5 linked regions of the Tribolium castaneum genome follow. The protein of the gene in region 5 binds, or shares a complex with, the protein of the main gene of each other region. Links are inferred from orthologs where the notes say so. Each region holds a gene or a part of one and is shown on either strand. Other genes may lie near its edges.

Region 1 (3,666 bases), on a different chromosome or scaffold from region 5:
TTTTTCTTGCTCAAAAAAACGCCTTTTGCGACCAAACGAATCGTCCAGACCTTGGAACAATTGACGCGCTTTTTCCAGCCTGTCTTTTGATAAATTCACTGATTGGAAGCCCCTATTTTTAGGAAATTCCCGAACGGTTTCTAAGTTTTTTTCTTTTTTTACACCTTTGTTAAATTGTGTTACAATCGAGCGAAATTCGTCAAGTTTTTTCCGATTTTTCTCAATCATATCTTGACTAAAACCTCTGAACTCGTCACTCAAATCTGATTTTTTCGCATTTTTAACGTCTTCAAAATTAAAATTCTCGTTTAATTTATTCCTGGCCTGGTTGATTGCTCTTTCGGACATTACTGTACATTTCCCTGAAGCTGTCTTAAAACCCGAAAAACTTGCGTTATATTCCGAAATTTTCGTATTAAAATCTTCGCTTAATTTATTCCTAGCTTGTTTGATTGCACTCTTAGACATTAGGGAACTTTTCCCTGAAGCTGTTTTAAAACCGACAAAACTTGTGGTAGTTCCCTCATTACTGTTCCTATTCCTAGCTTCTTTGACTGCATTTTCGGATCTTAAGGAATTTTTTCCTGAAGCTGTTTTAAAACCTGCAAAACCAGTACTTAATTCCTTGTTACAACCTTCAGGATTTAGCATGTCGTCAAACAACGTTCTGGCCTTTTTCAAGGCTTCATCAGACGCTTTGAAACCTTGATTATCAACTTTGTTGGGTTCATTTTTACAATTAAAACCTTGGGGAGGAGTCAAAATTTCGGCTCTTTTCAACACATCATCAGAATTTTTATCCAAACTCCAGTCTTTTTCTATACTTTCCAAAAAGTTTTCGGTTTGGCTTGGGGTTAAAACATTGCTGGAAGACGCGTCCAGAAACCGGTTCGTCAAATTAACCCGACTTTTTTTCTGTGATCTCTTGCTTCTAATCCATTTGCGTGATATTTGAGTGCTTAGAATAGGTGATAAAGGCCGGTCTTCCATTTTGAGGTTGGAAAACCGAATTTTCACAAACTTGCCCAAAATTCACTAACGTTTTCAACAAACACCAACTATTAAAGCAACCAAAACTTATTCAAGCACAAATCGTAGAAAAAAACACTCACATTTTTATTTTTTACAAACAGTAAACACCGCCATTACACATCAACAATTTCAAACGTTAGGGACTTTCAGCCAAACGTTGGCACAACCGTTTTTGAAAAAAGATTTTTCAAATAAAAAAGAAATTCCAAACGAAAGTACTATATAATTGGAAAACCAATTATTAAAGCAACCAAAGGTGATTTAAGTAAAAATTGTAAAAAAACACTCACTTTTTTCTTCTTACAAGCAGTAAACGTCGCCAGTTCATTTCAAACACTAGAAACTTTTGATCAAAGTTGACTAAGCTGTTTTAGCAAAAATTAAATTTTCAGATAAAAACGCAATTCCAAATGAAAATAAACATTTCAATTCCAAATAAAAATAAACAATTTCGCTAAAGTGAGACCCCATTTACCAATGGGGCAAAAACGTTGAAATAAAACAATTGCAACGCAATTTGCTTAAGAAACGCCGATCGTTCATTTTGAGATTGGAACATTAAATTTCCACAAATTTACCAAAAATTGATCAACGCATTCAACAAATAACGATTATTTAAACAACCAAATGTGGTTTAAGCACAAATTGTGGAAAAAACTCACTTTTTTGCTTTTTTAAAAACAGCAAACGCCGCCATTACACACCAACAGTTGCAAACACTAGGAACTTTTGGTCAAAGGTTAGCTAAGCTGTTTATGACAAAAATTAATTTTTTTAAATAAAAAAAATAAATTCCAAAGAAAAATAACGAACAATTGTATTACAATGAGGCCCCTTTTACTAAAACAGTATTTCATTGGGGCCAATAATTGAAATAAATGATTGCGACGTGAGATGTTGGCACCTCTGACTGTGTCAACATAACCCAACAAAAAATGTTCTTAGTCCGAAATTTAAAACAGTTTTCAACGTTTAATAAACGTTGTTGCGTGTATTTCACCAAAGTTTCGTATTCTAATGCACATTCAAAGTTTGTCACCCCAAAGAGCCAAGCCAAACAAATCGGCCCTTTGGGTTGGTTCCTCCTGGTCAGGTCACTGGGTTTCACCCAATTTTACCTTAACCAGGCAATTTTAGGTCATCCCAGCCTCAACTTTCGCACTTGGGACATGGCAAGTGCAACGTAAAAAATGGAAAGAGGATTTAATCGCAAAATTACATAACTTGACTGAGGCTGATCCCGTGCAATTACCAACCGAGTCCGTACATTTCTAAGTCAATTACACAAATAACAAAATGTCTTGTAGTTTAAATGAGTTGGAAAAGTTGGAATATCGGCCGGTTCACGTCCGGGGCGAGTTTCTCCACGACAAAGAGTTATATTTAGGCCCCAGAACTTTAATTTTAAAAGGCGATTCGGCAACTAAAAGTCAACTCATGTCGACCACAACAAAGCAAAACCAGGGTTTTTTAGTCATTACACCGTTTAAATTAGCTGATCGGAATGAAACGATTTTAATAAATCGGGGTTGGGTACCTTCCAAGTGCAAAAATCCAGCGACAAGGGACAAGGGACAGGTGAAGGGGGTTGTTGATGTTGTTGGTATAGTACGTCTTCAGGAAAATCGCCCCACTTTCATACCAAAAAACCAGGAAGGCAGCAACCAATGGTTTTATCGCGATTTGAATCAAATGGCCAAGGTTACAGGAGCGCTTCCTGTGCTTCTGGAAGCCACTACTGATTTTGATACTTCTGAGGGCCCCATTGGGGGGCAAACTCGGGTCACTTTACGCAACGAACACTTGTCATATATTCTCACGTGGTATAGTTTAAGCGCAGCGACGTCTTACCTGTGGTACAAACAATTCTTAAGTCGGGTTAAATAAATGTGAAAAATTCGCTGATAAAATTTATTTTCCTACTTTGTACCATGTAAATAACAGCTTGTAACACATGAATTTTCTCATATAAATCTTTCATAAAAAGAGGAAGAAATTCAACAGTCTATTAATTAAACGTGTGGATATTTGAAACATCTTTGGCAAACATTTGTCTAGTCAACAATGTGTAAAGCATTCAATTGGACAGAGAGAAATTTCGAGATGGGACATGCAGAGAATCTGTCGCCACAGTCACAACGTTTATTTGGCACTTTGCACATTTAATACTTTAGGCGCAATAATACAATGTGGCAACAAATTTCAGGTAATCGTAACAGTGTGTTTTAATAGAGCATGTTTGGTCCTAAGTGAACGAGAAAATAGTTAAAAAAAAACAGAGAGCAATAAACTTTACCAAAAATTGATTTCGATAATCCATTACATAATAAATTCGAATATGTTAAAATAAGAAATAGATACATCAATATTATTTACTAAACATATATAAAAATATATAAAATTATAAAATAACATATACTTTACGTTAGATTTTCTCTTTTTATCGTACATGCTCCAATGGCAGTCAATCGAAATAAAAAATTCAGATATGGGGTTTTCAAATTTACTTACTCTAACTTATTCGTATTACTTCTTCTTCTTGCCCGAAGAATTGCTTTTAAAATTATTACTAATACCATTTGTTGCATGCGGGACGTTACCATTGGCCATTCTGCAACAAATAATCCAACATAA
Region 2 (3,356 bases), on a different chromosome or scaffold from region 5:
AAAAAAAAAAACAATTCCGAAGTCATATAACAAAATACCAAAAACAGGATATTCCAAATTACATCGCCCACCAAAAAATAAATACCTAACATCATAGCTTTAAAGCTGATAAGAAACGAAACCAAATCATTTTTTTTCTACCGTTTTCTTCCTTTTTTAAAATAGTATAAGTAACGCATATACAACTTAAAAAAATGAATTAATAGCTTGTGTTTGCTCGATTCTATTCGACTCACAAAAATCTGGGTTGTTGTGATTTTTCAAATTAAACATAGCTCTGACTTGTCAATTAAAACTTTGTATTTAGATGATATTTAGTCTTCAGCACATCGTATTAGAACTTTTGTTACTCTCTAAAATAAAAACCTTTAATTGTCCGTTTGGAGAGGTGTCCGCTAATGGGAGGTTTTGTTACGTTCCTACAAAAATGTCCGTTGTGAAGGGGTGTCCGTTCAGGAGGTTACACTGTATTAAGTAATCGTTACAAAGGCGCGAACAAAGTGGTTTGTCTGATTCACTGATTTGTTGCTAGATTGCTTAACTATTTTTTTTGTATCTGAAATATAGAGGTGCATGTTGCTGTCCAAATCTCTGAAATATTTTTAGATTCATTCTTTTTTAGAAAATAATATTTTGTTTTCGCGTTCATCTTTTCTTGATTTTTCTAAACTGAAGTAAGTAGTCTTTAAAACATCCGTATCCTCACTTACAGACTTCACAAGGCATTGTTTTGGTAGAATTTAACAGCTTATTCACCGACTTTTTTAACTGATTTATTTAGATAAGAATTGGTTTGTTATATGGAGGTGAATGACAGTAGCGTATAAAAATAAAAAACACCGAATTGTAAATCGTTTAATTAGAAAAAATCCTGATTTAAAATAAGTTATAAAACACAATTCAATTGATGACAAGTTTGAGAAAAATTCATTTAAACGCAACCGTGTCCAACATCGCCCCTAAACACTGTACAATATTATTAGTCATCAACAAATCAACTTTCTCCTCAAGATGCCGTTTCGGATCCTGTTTCCCGACATTTTTAATCGCCAACTGCTCCGGCGTCATCTTCTCCTCTTCCTCCAGCGCCTTGTTATAATTTTTGGCCAATTCTAAAACATCAGCGACTGTTTTTTCATTAATCCCGCAATTATTTTTATAATCTGCGAGGATTAAGCCATCCATCCACGACTTCTTATGCAGATTGAGTAACATCTTTTGCTCTAATTCATTCTTCCGGTAGTTTATACTAATAGAGTAGTAGTGTCTGTTCAAACCGTGAATCAGCGCTTGAACTGACGGCTTCTGCAAGTGCCCCAAATTGGACGTCGTCTGGCGGGGCTCCTGCCCCAGGACCATCATATTCGGGTTGATTAACCTAAAGGCATCGATGACGACTTTGCCCTTGACTGACTGGATGGGGTCCACGACCACGGCCACCGCCCGCTCACTCAGGGCTTCAAACGACTGCTGGGTGTTGATATCCACCCCCGACAGCCAGCACCCGAACCCGGGATGGGAGTGGTACCACCCGACGACCATCTCCGGGCGGCCCGTTTGGCGCAACATGTCCAGCATTTTGGCCTGGAAGACGGGGTCCACGGCCTCCACACTGACCCCAGTCCCGGTCTGGGGCATCGCGAACACGTCGATCACCCTCACGGTGTAGTCATCAACGAATTCACCTGAAGTTTTCGGTAAAATTGATTGTGCAAAGTCATGATGGAACTCACCCAACATCAGGCCCATGACTTCCATGGGGACCCCAGCCCGGCCATGCTTCAACATCTTCAAAAGGGCCAACGACGAGATGTACACTTGCTCGGCCGTGTCCACCACGGGGGCGTCCGACGGAGGGGGCGCCTGAGACAGGCCCGGCATTCCGCCACCCAAACGAAGCAAACGATCCATTTTACTCAACTAAACACAAATTCAAGATTCTGTCAAAAATTGCAAATCATGACGTTTGAATGACATCCGACAGTTGACATACCGGTATTGTAACTCTCTGCGATGGCAAACGACGCGCAAAAAAAGAATCTCCTGCACGAGAAGTACGCAAGTGGGCCCCACGGACTGGGTAAGAACGGCACTATTGTTCAATTGAGTAAATTCGAGTGCGAAAGCACCTTCTTTGACTCTGTTGACCGGGACGTATCAGTTACCGACCGAGCAACCAAACGCAACAAAAGGCGGTTAATTTGAATTGGTTTCAGGGGACCCCAACGACCGCACACTGCGAAGGGTTGAGATCGACGTTATGATCCCGAAAAAAATGCGCGAGATTGCACGAGACGAAAAATGCACCGATGCCGTCGAGAAATTCACCGAATGTTGCAAAAATAACAACATTTTGATGACTTTCATGTGTCGTAAAGAGAACGCAGCACTGAAAGAATGTCTGACTCGTTGGTATGAAGATGAAGATTTTAAAAATCGGTGCAAGGAGGAGTATTTAAACGAAAGGAGTGAATACAGGAGGACGGGAGTTACGCAAAAACAGAAACAAAGAATGGCAACTTCCATGTAATTTTTTTTTGTAGTAACTAAGTAGTAATAAATTAATTTTGGTCCATTTGGGGGGTCCACCGCTTCATTATTGTTTCCTTGATCGTAAACTTGCCAATCTCGTTGAAGGGGATTGAGTCGGGGGAAACACCGGGGCACACAATCTCGCAAATCAGCAGTTCCTTAAAAAAACAATAGGGTGATGTGCACAACTGCACAGTTATTGGACAGGGATAAATAAGGTCTCTTGATTTCATATTGCTATGACATAACGCGCAAACTATTTCTTCTATTGTGTTTCTTTGAAATATAAAACAGCTTCAGCAGAACGGTCGTGACTTTCAGAGTTTAATTTTTTCAATGAGACTAATATTTCATTTAAAACTTTTTTCATTGCAAATGTAGCAAAAACTTGGTCTTCACCGGTCAATTTTTTGTTTACTATACTGTTATAGTTTGCCACTAAATCCAATAACTCAAAAAAATTATCTGTTTGAAGTTGTAGCAGTGTATCGCAAAATATCTGCTATTACTGGCAATGTACTCTCGATTTTTCTGTACAAGTGCTGAGAAATGCTAATAATAAAGATAAAGTCTCTGTTATAAGGATGACAACAGTGAATATTAGCTGGATAAGTTAATATATGCCAGTGAGGAAGAAATAGAAGCAGAAAGTGACAAAACTAAAGAAGAAGAAGAAAAAAAGAAAAGATTCGGAACACAAAGAATAAAAAACTAAAGAACAAAATGACTAGAGTGATCGTGATTGAGATGAGTGACGTGAATTATTAATTAAGTATTAGATTGGATTTGAAATTTTGTTGGAAATTATACAACAAATAACTATT
Region 3 (4,077 bases), on a different chromosome or scaffold from region 5:
CGAAGTAGTTTTCGATACATGTTTCTAAGAAACTTTTGTCTTAAAATTTAATGTTCTATCACTCGTTTAAATTTGTAACAATAAAAACGAAACATCCTGTATTTGCCTAAGAAACAGATAAAATTTGGGAAACAATAATCGCTTTGTTCGCAGTAGCGATCCTGAACTAGTTCAAACATCAATCGCAGCTAATACTTATTTTTAAATAACATTAAAAAAATATGAAATAGTTATTAACGATTAGCTCTCTCATTGAAAGTACAAAGTCTGTTGAAAAGAAACTAAATAAATAAAATGCATAAGGCATTTTTGACAAATGTTCGACATTTTTCAATACGAAACGTCAGATTATTCTTAATAGTATTTGTTCAAACTTAACTTTAAATTTTTTGGGTTTATTAAATTACTTTGAACACACTGGAAAACAAATAACTGCTTTCTCTTTTAATTCTCCAAATATGATTTCGAAATCTTTAAAACAAAGAAAGTTACCGATTTTTTAAGCAAAACCAAAATTTTTCAAGGAATCTTAAATATCCCGAAAACGGTTAAAGTCAGGTATAGGAAAAGCTGATAAAAACGGCCTTTAAATAACTCAACTAATCCAAAAACGCAGTGAAAAACAGCTTTTAAAATAAGAAAGTTGATACCAACTTCTGGTATAACCGGAAGTGCCGGCATCTTAAAAATATTTTTATTGAAAAGAACTCAACCGATTATGGTTGAGTACCAACTTCCAGATGAATATCTTTATTAGAACTTTCAGTACTTCTAATGTGGAGTTTAGACGGAACATAGTGTATATCCCATTTCAGTTCATAGTAGAATTTTGCAACAGTACATTTAAATTTTTCGAAGTGATATAAAGCACAAATTGAGAGTATCATAAGAAAAGAGTTCTGTGTTAAATTAAATACCAACGACAAATTTTGGGCCAAGAATTTTTTTGTCTTGATCAATAGGGTTTTATGTATAAGAAAAATAAAACACCCGCTTTATTTACATATCAAACTTTAATTTTTACCGAAATAATTACAAGCCTTAAATTAATCTAACTAGAACTGCTTCCTTGAGAAAATCGTCGGCACCCACGGTCTCGGTTTAGCTTCCTGTTCTTTTTTCTTCGCCCCTTGTGCCTCCAAAAGCTCCATCAACTTTTTCTGTTTCTCTCGAAATGCTTCAATCGGATCGTCATATTTGCTATAATACAGTAAAACCTCTCTAACATCTTCAATATTATTATCAACTATCGTCTTCAAAAAGATCGATAAATCAACCAAAGACAAGTCCTCATCAGCCCCTTCCCATCTCCTGACTTTCAAAAGATTCTCCGGATGGAACTGCACACTATTCGGATTCCAATCCACTACAATAACTTTACTCAAATCCCGGTTCAATTTGTCCAGACTTTTGACATGGTGCCCGCCTACGAAGTGCGTCGCGTCTCTCACCAGCTTGTACGAGATGAGGTTTTTGGGGTCCATGGCCTCAATCAGGGGAAAAACCGTCATTCCTTGCTCCGCCGTGTAGACAACAATTTCGAAATGTCCATGAAGAGACTCAAGAAAGTAATCTAAACCTGGCCTCTTCTTGAACCTCCAACCAGTGTTGTAAGTCCAATCGGGGTGCACCAGAACATCGGTCAGTTCCAAGACAAGAGTATATTTAGGTTGTAAATAGGGGTACTGAAGGGGGTCTGGCAATAACTTGTCCCTGGAGGGCTCCTTAATCAACCTCCTGTAATTATCCAACTCCCGGTACGTTCTCATTAAATACTGGCGCCACAGCGGCAAGTGCGACAAGTCGTCTTCGATCACGCGCCCCTCTCTGTCTCTTTCCGGAGCCCCCAAGACAAAAATCAAGTACGAACCCAAACACGTGAAAGACACTCCGAAGAAGATTAGTGTGAGTTTCATTGTTCGCCATGACGCCTCTCGCTGTTTTCTTGCTTCTTCTTCCTCCGAATTTGCTTTCTCGTTCGTTTCTTTGGCTATGAGACTACCGAGGGGCGACTTGACCGGCTGCTTTTTTGCATCTTCGGCGTAATTCCGATGTTGAATTATGACTAGTGGTGACTTGAACAGCACTCGGGGGCCGTTCCGTGTGAGAATTAGGGAGGTTTTGTGTCGAAATAAATTACTAAACACGTTCAAAGTTCTAAAAGTAGATCTGTACATTTTGAGGTTAGGATGCAACTGTCAAACACGTTGCGGTTCAAATCGTGGGGAAAAATTCCACCGGGGGTTTTGTTACATAAAATGATAAAAACCTGCACGATGGGACTTTGCACTGGGGCTACGGAACCATTTATAATTTTTTTGGCATGGTTGAATTAAACGAAATTGTGTTGGTAGCAGTGGCACGTAGTGTGTTTTTTGTCTTTTTGAATTGAATTCAATTAAAAAAAATTCAAAAATAGTCATTTTCGATGTATTTAATTTAATTTCCTGGAAAAAGCGACTAATTTGGAAAATTAAAAAAGACAAAATTGTTTATGTATACATTTTCCAAAAAAATCTCACTTGTGAAATGAGCTACAGACTGATCCAGAAATACTGAGTCTGTTGGCAACACATTTGGAAGTATTTGTACTCATAAATTGCAACATTGCAACCGAATTCGATTTTTTTTGACAATTATTTGACGTACAACCCTACAAGATTGTTGTTAACTAGAAGAGTACTCCATTGGTATCCTTAAAAATTTAAGTCCAGTGTTGCCAACAGACTCAGTATTTCTGGATCAGTCTGTAAATCTAAAGAAAGAGATCGGTATGTTATTTTCTATTTTCGACGTTTATTGTAAACTCTTCGACGATTTAAAATTTGTCTACCTTTTTGTAAGTAGATTTTATTTTTCTACCAAAAATAAATAAAAACATAAATATTAATCAAAAAGTTTGGAAATATATTGCAAACACCCTGTATAATTTAGATCAATCCAACTTGATTAGTGCATCTAGCCTCAGTTAGACCTTGTTTAAGACCTACATACTAATAAAGTCATCAAGAAAGCATCATTTCTTATTTATTATTAATTTTTTGCAATACCTACTGTTTTGTAAGTCATCGTTCACTGACAAATATCTTTCATTGTAATCGGCACTTTTTAGTCTGCTGTAAGTTTACATCGTTACCTTGCAGTAACATTTTACTTACAGTCCGTGGGCGGTAAGTAAATGTTACATACCAACGTATGTCACATGAAAATGTTTTCCTGAAATACGTCCTACAGCATAAATAACGCCTACAAAATATCAAAAGTCCAACTTTAATATTAAATGAGATATAGAAGACGAAGCTGTGCGGGATCACCATGTATACGTGATACGTACAGTCACGATTAAAAAGAATGACACCCCTAAAAGCGTAGCCACAAATCTTTTGATATGATATGGTTAATGTGTATGTTTGGCTAGTTTATAAACCAACTGCATATTGTGCAAATTACTTGGACAGTTTTGTAAACCAAGCTGTTTGTCCAAATTCATGATTTAAAAGATTTTAGTCGTACTTTGACTATCCGGTACGGTTGATAATGGTGTCATTCTTTTTAATCGTGTTTGTGTTAATAAAAAAAACATCAAGATCACAATAATCGAAAATTTATATTAAACGTAAAATTGTTTTAGGATCCCAAATTAGCCTTCACTTTTCTCTTACGATAAGTAGTTTTAGAGATATTAGATAAAATATGGTCGAGCCTGAGAGAAAGGGAAGCAATATGTTAAGGGTTCTTTTCGTTACGTATCGTCTTAAATTATTGTAGCAACATTTTGTTTGTACACCATAAAGTTTTACAACAGATAATGGTGTTTAGCATAAGCAACCCTCACAATAAGCTGTCTTGACAAGGGTGACCCGAAAATATTTACGATACCGATTAGTTCCTCTGAAAGAGTACAACTTGTCTGCAATAAATCACACAATAAGCTTGCCTCAGTGATTAGCTTGAAGGGTCCGTGCGGTTTGGGGTAATCATAATAAAAATTTAATGGTGTACAAAGAAAACGTTGCTATAGTGGCGGTCAGCTCGATTTGCGTGTGCGTCATCAATTTCATTTTTTCATTACCAACA
Region 4 (3,865 bases), on a different chromosome or scaffold from region 5:
ATTAAAACAACAGAAAACAAGACCTAAATGAAAAAAAATTGCGTTCCCTCAACCCCCATTTCAATCACCTGTCACTTGTCAAACGTCATTTTTAAACCAGCGGACACCAAACAAACACCTCAGCTCAATTTTTTTATTATTAAATTTACAAGTCAGTGATGTGCCGAATGTGATAGCCGTCTTGACGGCGACCGCCTTATGCTCTTCAAGACCGAAAAAATCGTATTCGGGGCTACCCCCAAGTTCAAGAATTCGACCAAAATCCTACAACATGTTGACGATTACTGGTTTGTTGATATTTCAGGTTTCAGGAAAAAATACCTGAAAACTTTTACATCCATGTGAACACCTGCCAATTCGCCTAATAATTGGAGCTCATCTTGGTGGGGCTGCAGCCGCCCGGAAAAATTTGAAGATGTCTCGGTGTGCATTTTGAAACTTGACACGCTTATGCCAAATAGCGGCTTTTTATCCGACAAATTATTAGTTGAACTCATCAAAAATTCGATCAGTTAAATGTTTTCGGTGTTATAGCCCCTTACACCAACCGCCAAACTGTCGCATTTTGACACATGTCAACAAATTTTAAATACCTGATTGAAAATTAAAAATAGCTCGATAAAGTCTCGCCATAATTACAAGATAATTTGTGATTGATTTACGTCCAAAGGTCCAAACGTTCAAAAAGTTCAATTAATTTTTACAATTTCGTGACAATGCTTACGTCCTGTGATTAGTTTGCCGAAATTATTTTAACTTAAATTTTTACTAAGTGGCCGCAATATTAAAAATCTAAATGTTGGAAGTACAAACAGCAAAGATTCGTGTACGAAAATTCAGCTTTGCAGTACAAGATCTGTCCTGTTTTTACTCTCAAGAAAAGTGCACTCATTGAACAAGTCATAGACAGAAACGCACAAGAAAGACGTAACCGTAAATTATTAAAAACGCACATCCTCATTACAAAAAATGCACGGAATAGTAATATATTCGATATTTGTTTAAAATTGTAAGAATATAAAAAAATCATTAACCAGTATTTTATTTGTTACTAAGTTTTAGATAATATGCCACTGTGATAGAGATTGCACCAATTCAAATATAAGTTTACGTGTATTACATTTCTAACAGTCACCTGTCAAGCACATATTACATACTTGCATGTAATGCCTCACAAAATAAATTTGTGCTGTAGTATAAATTGAGTTCCTATATTAAATTATAAACGATTAAATGCTCTTTTTTTATTAAAATGTTAGTCATGAGAAGTCCATTTTTAATAGAGGTAATTTAATAATAGTAGACTAAAAATTTCTGCTCCTAAAAATCCGACAAATATGTTTCTGTTTATGACATTTCTAGATTTAACCGATTCTACCAAAGAAACAATGATTGCGTCCTGTGAGTAGGTTTCCAAAATTATTTTACCCCAAATTTCAACTAAACGGCCGTAATTAAAAAAAAAACACGAATACTGCAAGTATGAGCAACAAAAAGTAACCATTTTATGCGCGAAAATTTTTCTTTATCCCCTCAAGATCCGTCCTGTATTTACCCCTTCCGACATTTTCTCGACCTTCGTGTCGCATGTGTGTGTGTGTAACAATCAAATTACCAAATTTCGGCCAAAAACTCGAAAATTTCCTGTGTCAGTGCTCAAAAAATGTCAGCCTTGAATGATACCGACATTTATTCCCAAAATTACAACACCACAAGCGGCAATTTAGGTAAAAACCCCGACATAACCTCAAACCCCGATTATATAAACCCAATTCCAGGATCTTACAAACAATTCTCGTCACCATACCTCAACTTTGACCCCAGTTACCTGCCTCAAGCCCAACCCGAGTTCATCTTCCTCGAAGGGGCTAGCAAACAACGGGGGCGATTCGAGCTAGCCTTTGGCCAAATCGGGGGCTCTTGCATGATTGGGGCCTCGGTGGGGGGCGCCTCCGGGTTTTATAACGGCTTGAAAGCGACCACTTTGGCAGGACAAACGGGGAAATTAAGACGGACACAGTGAGTTTCTTCAATTGGTAGTGTTTTTCACTGATTGTAATTGTAGGTTATTGAATCATGTTATGAAACAAGGCAGTGCCACAGCCAACACGTTCGGGTCCATAGCTGTGATTTATTCAGCGTTTGGCGTTTTCCTCTCGTGGGCACGGGGGGCTGATGACGATCTTAACACTATTATTGCAGCCACGGCAACTGGTTGTTTGTACAAGTCCACAGCTGGCTTAAGGAAATGTGGCTTAGGTGGGGCTGTGGGATTAGGAGCCTCTGTTTTGTACGCCCTCTGGAATTCGCGAGATAAATTCACACAGTTGAGGCCACTCAATCCGGCGTAAGATTCTGTTTGTTTTAGAAACGAATTTTAACATAGGTTTTAGGTTAACTTAAGTACTGATTGGCTAGACAACTAAATTATTTTAACAATTTCCATAGATAGTACAATTTATCTACATAGTAGAGCGCTTGTGTTACCAATAAATTGTCATTATTTAGATTGGACAAGCCAATTTTTGGTAGGATATAGAAAGTTATAAAAACGATTTTTACCACTTTTTTTATACTTTCTATCAACTTATCGTTTGTATATAATTTGTGCTGTGATCTACCATTGTTACATATGTAATAAAAATTGCAACTATTCTTTTTCGAAGCTTATTTTTAATTCATTATTTTTCTGCAGGCAACGGTAGCGAGCCAGGAAACCGTTTTAACCCTCTGGTTTTAACCAAGACTGTAGATAAGTGTAAATACATTTCCAAATTATGCGAAAATATTGTAAGTTATTTAATAAATTTATTCACGTTTTAAGTAGCTTGAATTATTTGCGTTAACAGTGGCCGGCATTTACAAAATTTCAGCGATTTCTTAACATCAAAAATTAAAAAAAAGAGTAGTTTTAGTTTTTTACTACTATAATAAATTTGTTTTAAAACGCTGATTACGGCGAAACTAAATCAGCTACGAGATAGTCTTGTTCTATTGTAAAGAATACATCAAAATCTATTACGTAGGAGGGTTGCATGTTTTAATCTCCCAGTTCTACAGGTGCTCAAAAACTGGCGCACCAACTCAGTGGTACGTTATTGAGAAGCAAGTGCAGATTACGGGAAAAATGTTGAAAAAATTCCCAAAGTTATATTTTAAAAAATCTGGAGCTACAAACTTATTGTGTTAACTTCTTTAGTTTTCATTATTTTTTTATGTTTTTATGTTTCATACCAGGTAATCGTTCCGTAACAAAACGATGAATAATTATTTTTAAATTTACTATCAGATTTTAGCAGTTTTTTTAATTTAAAAAAATTAAAATTCATCCAAAAATCACAATGTGTAGATGTGCCAACACTGGGAATTATTTCCTAGGAAACCGTTTCAAAAATAATTTATTTTTATTGTTGCTCAAATTCTATTGCGATCATGACTATTAGACAACGTTGCCACATATCATTTATATAAAATCCATTATTTATCAATAACTTTAATACAAAGAATTTTTTTACTATTTTTACCTTTATATGTTACCAATTCTCTACCACACACCATTGAGTTGGTGCGCCAGTTTTTGAGCACGCTGTATAATTTCAACAAATAAAAAAATGAAAATATCAAACTAAAAGTTTTAGTTCTTGGTAGTTCAGACTTAGATTTTAATATTGTTACGGTATAACAGTTGTTTCAATTGAGCGCGCAAAGTTCTATAAAAAGCGTTAAAAACACTCCTACGGTGGAATTTGAAAGAATATACAACTGGTGCAACACACACTGTCGCGGTGTATTGTTAGTTGCCTGCCACACAAAAAGGAGTGTCCAACTTAATTACAAATTCGTTGAACTTTTACGTCTCTATGAA
Region 5 (4,202 bases):
CATTCAAGTGCAAATTTGCTTTTAACTCATATTATTCTTAACAAAAAATACAATTATGTATTTAAAAAAAAATCTATTTGTAGGAAATAAAAACCTTGACAAGTTTTGTAAAATAATAGCTAACAAGTCGCTCCAAATCGTACAGCATTTAAAGTCCGTATTTCCAATTATTTTTGAAACTTTATTCTTGGAGTACAAGTCGAGACAATTTGTTTTAAACCACAAAAAGCCGTAATAACGAAACTAATTTGGCGAAATAAATATTGGTAGGCAGTTTTAAAATTAATCGCGATTTCGTCGTAACAATGCAACAATTGAATTAAGAGATTACAAATTTCGAGGATACGTAACTATTATCTAAGTTTTGTTTATAATAGGCTTCAAACTAAATAAAAAATGACTTACACACCTACCATTCATTACGTAACATTTGGCGTCAATGAATAAAATAATGTAACAAAACGTGGGTCGTCAAATTCGATAAGAGTATTAGAAGCGAAGATAGTACTACTTTTATTTATTCTCTGATTAAATAATTTGACTCTAATGACCTTAGTAGAGATAAGAAATAGAAATCCATGTTAAATATGGGTTCAATGATAGAAATAGAAAAGATTTATCATGCTGACTAAAGTAATGCCAACAAACTCTAATTACTGCTGAAGAAGGGTCTTTGATAACGCTAACTGCTAGAGTTAACAAAAAAACTTGTGCTAACTTGGCAGTACTTTAAATCGTTGTTAGTACTGAAAGCAAAAGCGAGGCGTGCAAGCAATTACCACAAATATTGTGAGAAGAGCGGGGAGGCTTAGATTTTAACAATCTGACGACTTCACTGGGTTTAGCTGTCAAAAATAAAAATTTATTATTCGAATTTTGTAACGCTAATAGTAAAAATTAAAAATACAGGTGTGCGCAAAACAGGATAAAAAAATAATCATTTACCATAAATCGCATTTCTGTAACATTGAGGAGCCAATTATCTCAGATTTATTTGGATATTGATTGTTTTTCTAAAAATAACCCCTGCAAAAATCCATACCTGTAAATATCCGCTGTCTGGCTTGCATAAGCTGATTCCTATTCCTCACACGAACACATAAGTGTATCATAATGAACATTGTGACGTTCATGATTATGCTTTGGATCAAAAGGGGGTACTCAAAGTGTCTGCCGAACCTAAAAGCCCAAGATTCAAGTATGACTTTACTCAGAGCAGAGCAGCTCTTACCAAAACATGATACGTAAGGTGTTGGCCACCAGAAGGGCCAAGCAAACTAGCAGCGAAAAGCCCTCAGCATCTTGTGTCTTTCTGATTTGTCTGTACTGGGGGATGTAGGGGATGACACCTCCTATAATCATAGCACCAGCGCTGACCCAGCCGACCACTGTTCCCACCGTCAGGGACAACTCGTCCGATATCACCCAATCCATGCTTCTAACTACTTAACAACAAGCAAATGCCTTTTTATTTGCTGTTGCCCATCTTTATTACCACTGTGTTCACTCAACTGTCAAATGTCAACTAAAAATGTCAAGTTAAATGGGCTACGGTGGCGAAGGTGACGCGCCGGCGCGCCCCAAATTTAATTACAAATAAAAAACGACCCCTCTTTTGACACAAATCGGCAGTTTTTGCAATTGCCACAATCGCTAGTTTTTTTTCCCAATTAGACAATTTGTGACCTAAGGCGCACATTAACTTTTTTTTCCAATTTTTTATCGCGTAACCGTAGACACATATGTCATCGGTGTGGATAGGTTATGCTTCATGTCATTGAAAAAGGTATAAAAATAATTATTTCTGCTCTTTTACGCAATAGATTTATTGCAGCAAGATGATCACGTCCCGGCTCGTTAACCCAGTATGTAGGTGCCGGTTATTGCTGTTTTACAACCCCATATCCAACCAAATCAAGCGCGGCAAAAGCCGACAGGCCCTCAGCAAAACAGTGAGGAGCGAGGTTGATACTAATGTAAAACTAGGCGAAAAAGTGAAAGAAACGACAAAGACTGCTTCCTATTTAGGCATAATCTTGCTGGGCGTGGGGGTGACAGGCTCACTGTTTTATGCAGTTTTCAATGAGTTGTTCTCGAGTAAAAGCCCCAATAATGTGTATTCTAAGGCAGTTGAGAGGTGTAAGGCTGATCCCCGAATCCAGGATAAACTCGGACTTCCGATTACGGCCTTTGGGGCCGAAACAACGAGGAGGAGACGACAACATGTCAGTCATGTGATTTATAACAGAGATGGAAGGCAGTGTTTGAGGATGAAGTTTTATTTAAAAGGGAGTTTCCACCAAGGGACTGTGCAACTGGAGATGGTGGAGGTGCGTTTTGCAATTGTAAGCCATCCTGTCAGTTTTTTATTACTTTTTTTTAGAATGATTCGGGGAAATATGAATATCGGTACTTATTTGTTCAAGTGCACAGAATAACAGGTTTTACAGAAACGCATCTGTCCTTGTCCGGATAGAGCGAAAGTGTCACTAGCACATCTATTGTTGCCAGCGCGTACTAAGCGTTATCGGCGGGCGATTTGAATTGCCCGTAGTTACTTTTCTTTTAAAGTTTGATTGCATTTTTCGTATTGTTTGTAAATATTCACAACAATAGTTGCTAATAACACTTTCTGATGTTAGACAACTATTGTTGCTGAATATTTACAAAGAATACGAAAAATAAAATATGAGAATAAATAAAGACAATAAACTTGTAATAAAAATTTATTATCACTAGTCAATATACACGATACGATAACTATAAACTAATGATTGATCCATCAAATTATTTATATTCCCACAATAAAAAAGTTCAAAAAAGCACACACACGAAAAAAACCACAAAACAGTACTAATTTCACATAAAACAAAGCCGAGGGCGAACACCAAACAAACCAAGCACAAAATGGCGATTTACACAATGGCAACTGTCACAGGTCCACTGTTAATTTCTGCCGATATTATAGGTAGCTTCGCTAAAATTGACTATACGTGTGTGCGACATCTGCGATAGCAAGCCGAACTACAGTCGATTTTGAATTTGGCGCCTATACTTGGCTTGGTGCATTTAGGTTTCACCACCCTGGTTCAAGTGGACGATCTCCTACAAACAGCAATTGTTCTGGAAGACAACAGGAACGCAGTTTCGTCTTCTAGTTCGTCTTCAGAGCCACTAGACTTGACGTTGTAAATAAAACGATGATAATAAAGTTTGTTAAATTTTTATTGTTTTTTCTTCACCGGATTTTCTTCAAAAAACAGTATTAATCTCCTGCTAAAAATATAGTGCTTTATTTTTGCAATTATCCATGAGATTATTATGTAAAGTGAGAGGTACTGGATCCAGGCCCACTTCAGTACTTGCCAAAAGCCCGGCTTGTAGTATATCCTGTCTTCTGGAAATTCTATATTTAAGTTTAATACGAAATTTTGAGTTTTTCCAGGAGAAAAACTTTTATAGACGTCTCTCAATGATGTGGATACTGAAAAAATATGTTAGTTATTGCTTTGTAGATTCTTTAACTTATACTGTTTCTCTTTGAAAAGTTTGTGATAATGGTATTTATGTCATAGTTATTTAAATCCCCATTATCCACAATCACAGGATAATTAAATAACGTATTGGTGTTTTTTCTGTGGCAAATTAAGGGGCTAGTTTGGGTCACAACCACATTAGCCACCAATGAATACTTCGATATATAAAATGGTAACAATTCTTGAAAAATAATGGCAGTCTGCATTTCAAGAGGACAAACCTATTGGAAAAAAACAGAAATATAGAAAAAAGAACACATTCGAATTTCTTACTTGTAATTTATAATTAAATGGAATGATTATGCAAAAAGACGTGAGGTGAGTATTAACTGGAAGATTAACTTGGAGAGACAAATCTAATTCTTCTGTTTTACCATCAAAATTTCTGTCAGTTTCACGAACCTAAAAGGCACAATATGTAAATTAATAGTTACAAAACTGAAAAAAAAAACCTTGATGACTGAACAAGTATCTAAAGGCCGCAATACATTATCAAAGTGGGGTAAATTACTACACGTTATAACAGACTTATTGTAATTATTCGTAGTAGCAACAAAAATGTATTCTCCTCGAAATTTTACATCCGGTTGTTCATAAAAAGTGTCTCTTTTTAACCACAAGCCTGAAAATTTGCTATCAGAACTATCTAATTTATTAAAATTAATT

What was found.
Region 1: mitochondrial import inner membrane translocase subunit Tim21 (region 5) and Surf1 share a complex: the UniProt entries of both Homo sapiens proteins name them as parts of the MITRAC (mitochondrial translation regulation assembly intermediate of cytochrome c oxidase complex) complex. The link is inferred for Tribolium castaneum from reciprocal best matches to the Homo sapiens genes TIMM21 and SURF1.
Region 2: mitochondrial import inner membrane translocase subunit Tim21 (region 5) and COX assembly mitochondrial protein homolog share a complex: the UniProt entries of both Homo sapiens proteins name them as parts of the MITRAC (mitochondrial translation regulation assembly intermediate of cytochrome c oxidase complex) complex. The link is inferred for Tribolium castaneum from reciprocal best matches to the Homo sapiens genes TIMM21 and CMC1.
Region 3: mitochondrial import inner membrane translocase subunit Tim21 (region 5) and mitochondrial import inner membrane translocase subunit TIM50-C share a complex: the UniProt entries of both Homo sapiens proteins name them as parts of the TIM23 complex. The link is inferred for Tribolium castaneum from reciprocal best matches to the Homo sapiens genes TIMM21 and TIMM50.
Region 4: mitochondrial import inner membrane translocase subunit Tim21 (region 5) and mitochondrial import inner membrane translocase subunit Tim23 share a complex: the UniProt entries of both Homo sapiens proteins name them as parts of the TIM23 complex. The link is inferred for Tribolium castaneum from reciprocal best matches to the Homo sapiens genes TIMM21 and TIMM23.

Annotation. Positions count from the first base shown.
Region 1 is NC_087394.1:36,916,069-36,919,734, forward strand, and holds Surf1 (surfeit locus protein 1), read left to right. Parts: upstream 1-1,910; 5' UTR 1,911-1,967; coding exon 1,968-2,120; intron 2,121-2,169; coding exon 2,170-2,291; intron 2,292-2,339; coding exon 2,340-2,919; 3' UTR 2,920-2,932; downstream 2,933-3,666. Other genes in the region: breast cancer type 2 susceptibility protein homolog, read right to left, coding at 1-990; pins (G-protein-signaling modulator 2), read right to left, coding at 3,559-3,643. UniProt on the Homo sapiens protein: Component of the MITRAC (mitochondrial translation regulation assembly intermediate of cytochrome c oxidase complex) complex, that regulates cytochrome c oxidase assembly.
Region 2 is NC_087399.1:7,831,429-7,834,784, reverse strand, and holds COX assembly mitochondrial protein homolog, read left to right. Parts: upstream 1-1,945; 5' UTR 1,946-2,013; coding exon 2,014-2,080; intron 2,081-2,216; coding exon 2,217-2,530; 3' UTR 2,531-2,561; downstream 2,562-3,356. Other genes in the region: Rpn11 (26S proteasome non-ATPase regulatory subunit 14), read right to left, coding at 928-1,685, 1,734-1,911; Tsen2 (tRNA-splicing endonuclease subunit Sen2), read right to left, coding at 2,562-2,690. UniProt on the Homo sapiens protein: Component of the MITRAC (mitochondrial translation regulation assembly intermediate of cytochrome c oxidase complex) complex, that regulates cytochrome c oxidase assembly.
Region 3 is NC_087399.1:10,216,622-10,220,698, forward strand, and holds mitochondrial import inner membrane translocase subunit TIM50-C, read right to left. Parts: upstream 2,352-4,077; 5' UTR 2,178-2,351; coding exon 1,056-2,177; 3' UTR 995-1,055; downstream 1-994. UniProt on the Homo sapiens protein: Essential component of the TIM23 complex, a complex that mediates the translocation of transit peptide-containing proteins across the mitochondrial inner membrane. Has some phosphatase activity in vitro; however such activity may not be relevant in vivo.
Region 4 is NC_087394.1:25,694,344-25,698,208, reverse strand, and holds mitochondrial import inner membrane translocase subunit Tim23, read left to right. Parts: upstream 1-1,540; 5' UTR 1,541-1,663; coding exon 1,664-1,727; intron 1,728-1,778; coding exon 1,779-2,019; intron 2,020-2,065; coding exon 2,066-2,347; intron 2,348-2,393; coding exon of another isoform or gene 2,394-2,403; exon of another isoform or gene 2,404-2,665; intron 2,666-2,695; coding exon 2,696-2,705; 3' UTR 2,706-2,823; downstream 2,824-3,865. UniProt on the Homo sapiens protein: Essential component of the TIM23 complex, a complex that mediates the translocation of transit peptide-containing proteins across the mitochondrial inner membrane.
Region 5 is NC_087398.1:6,904,110-6,908,311, forward strand, and holds mitochondrial import inner membrane translocase subunit Tim21, read left to right. Parts: upstream 1-1,589; 5' UTR 1,590-1,786; intron 1,787-1,834; 5' UTR 1,835-1,838; coding exon 1,839-2,330; intron 2,331-2,383; coding exon 2,384-2,419; intron 2,420-3,087; coding exon 3,088-3,192; 3' UTR 3,193-3,224; downstream 3,225-4,202. Other genes in the region: solute carrier family 66 member 2, read right to left, coding at 780-845, 1,043-1,179, 1,232-1,434; transmembrane protein 231, read right to left, coding at 3,225-3,484, 3,532-3,757, 3,810-3,938, 3,989-4,158. UniProt on the Homo sapiens protein: Participates in the translocation of transit peptide-containing proteins across the mitochondrial inner membrane.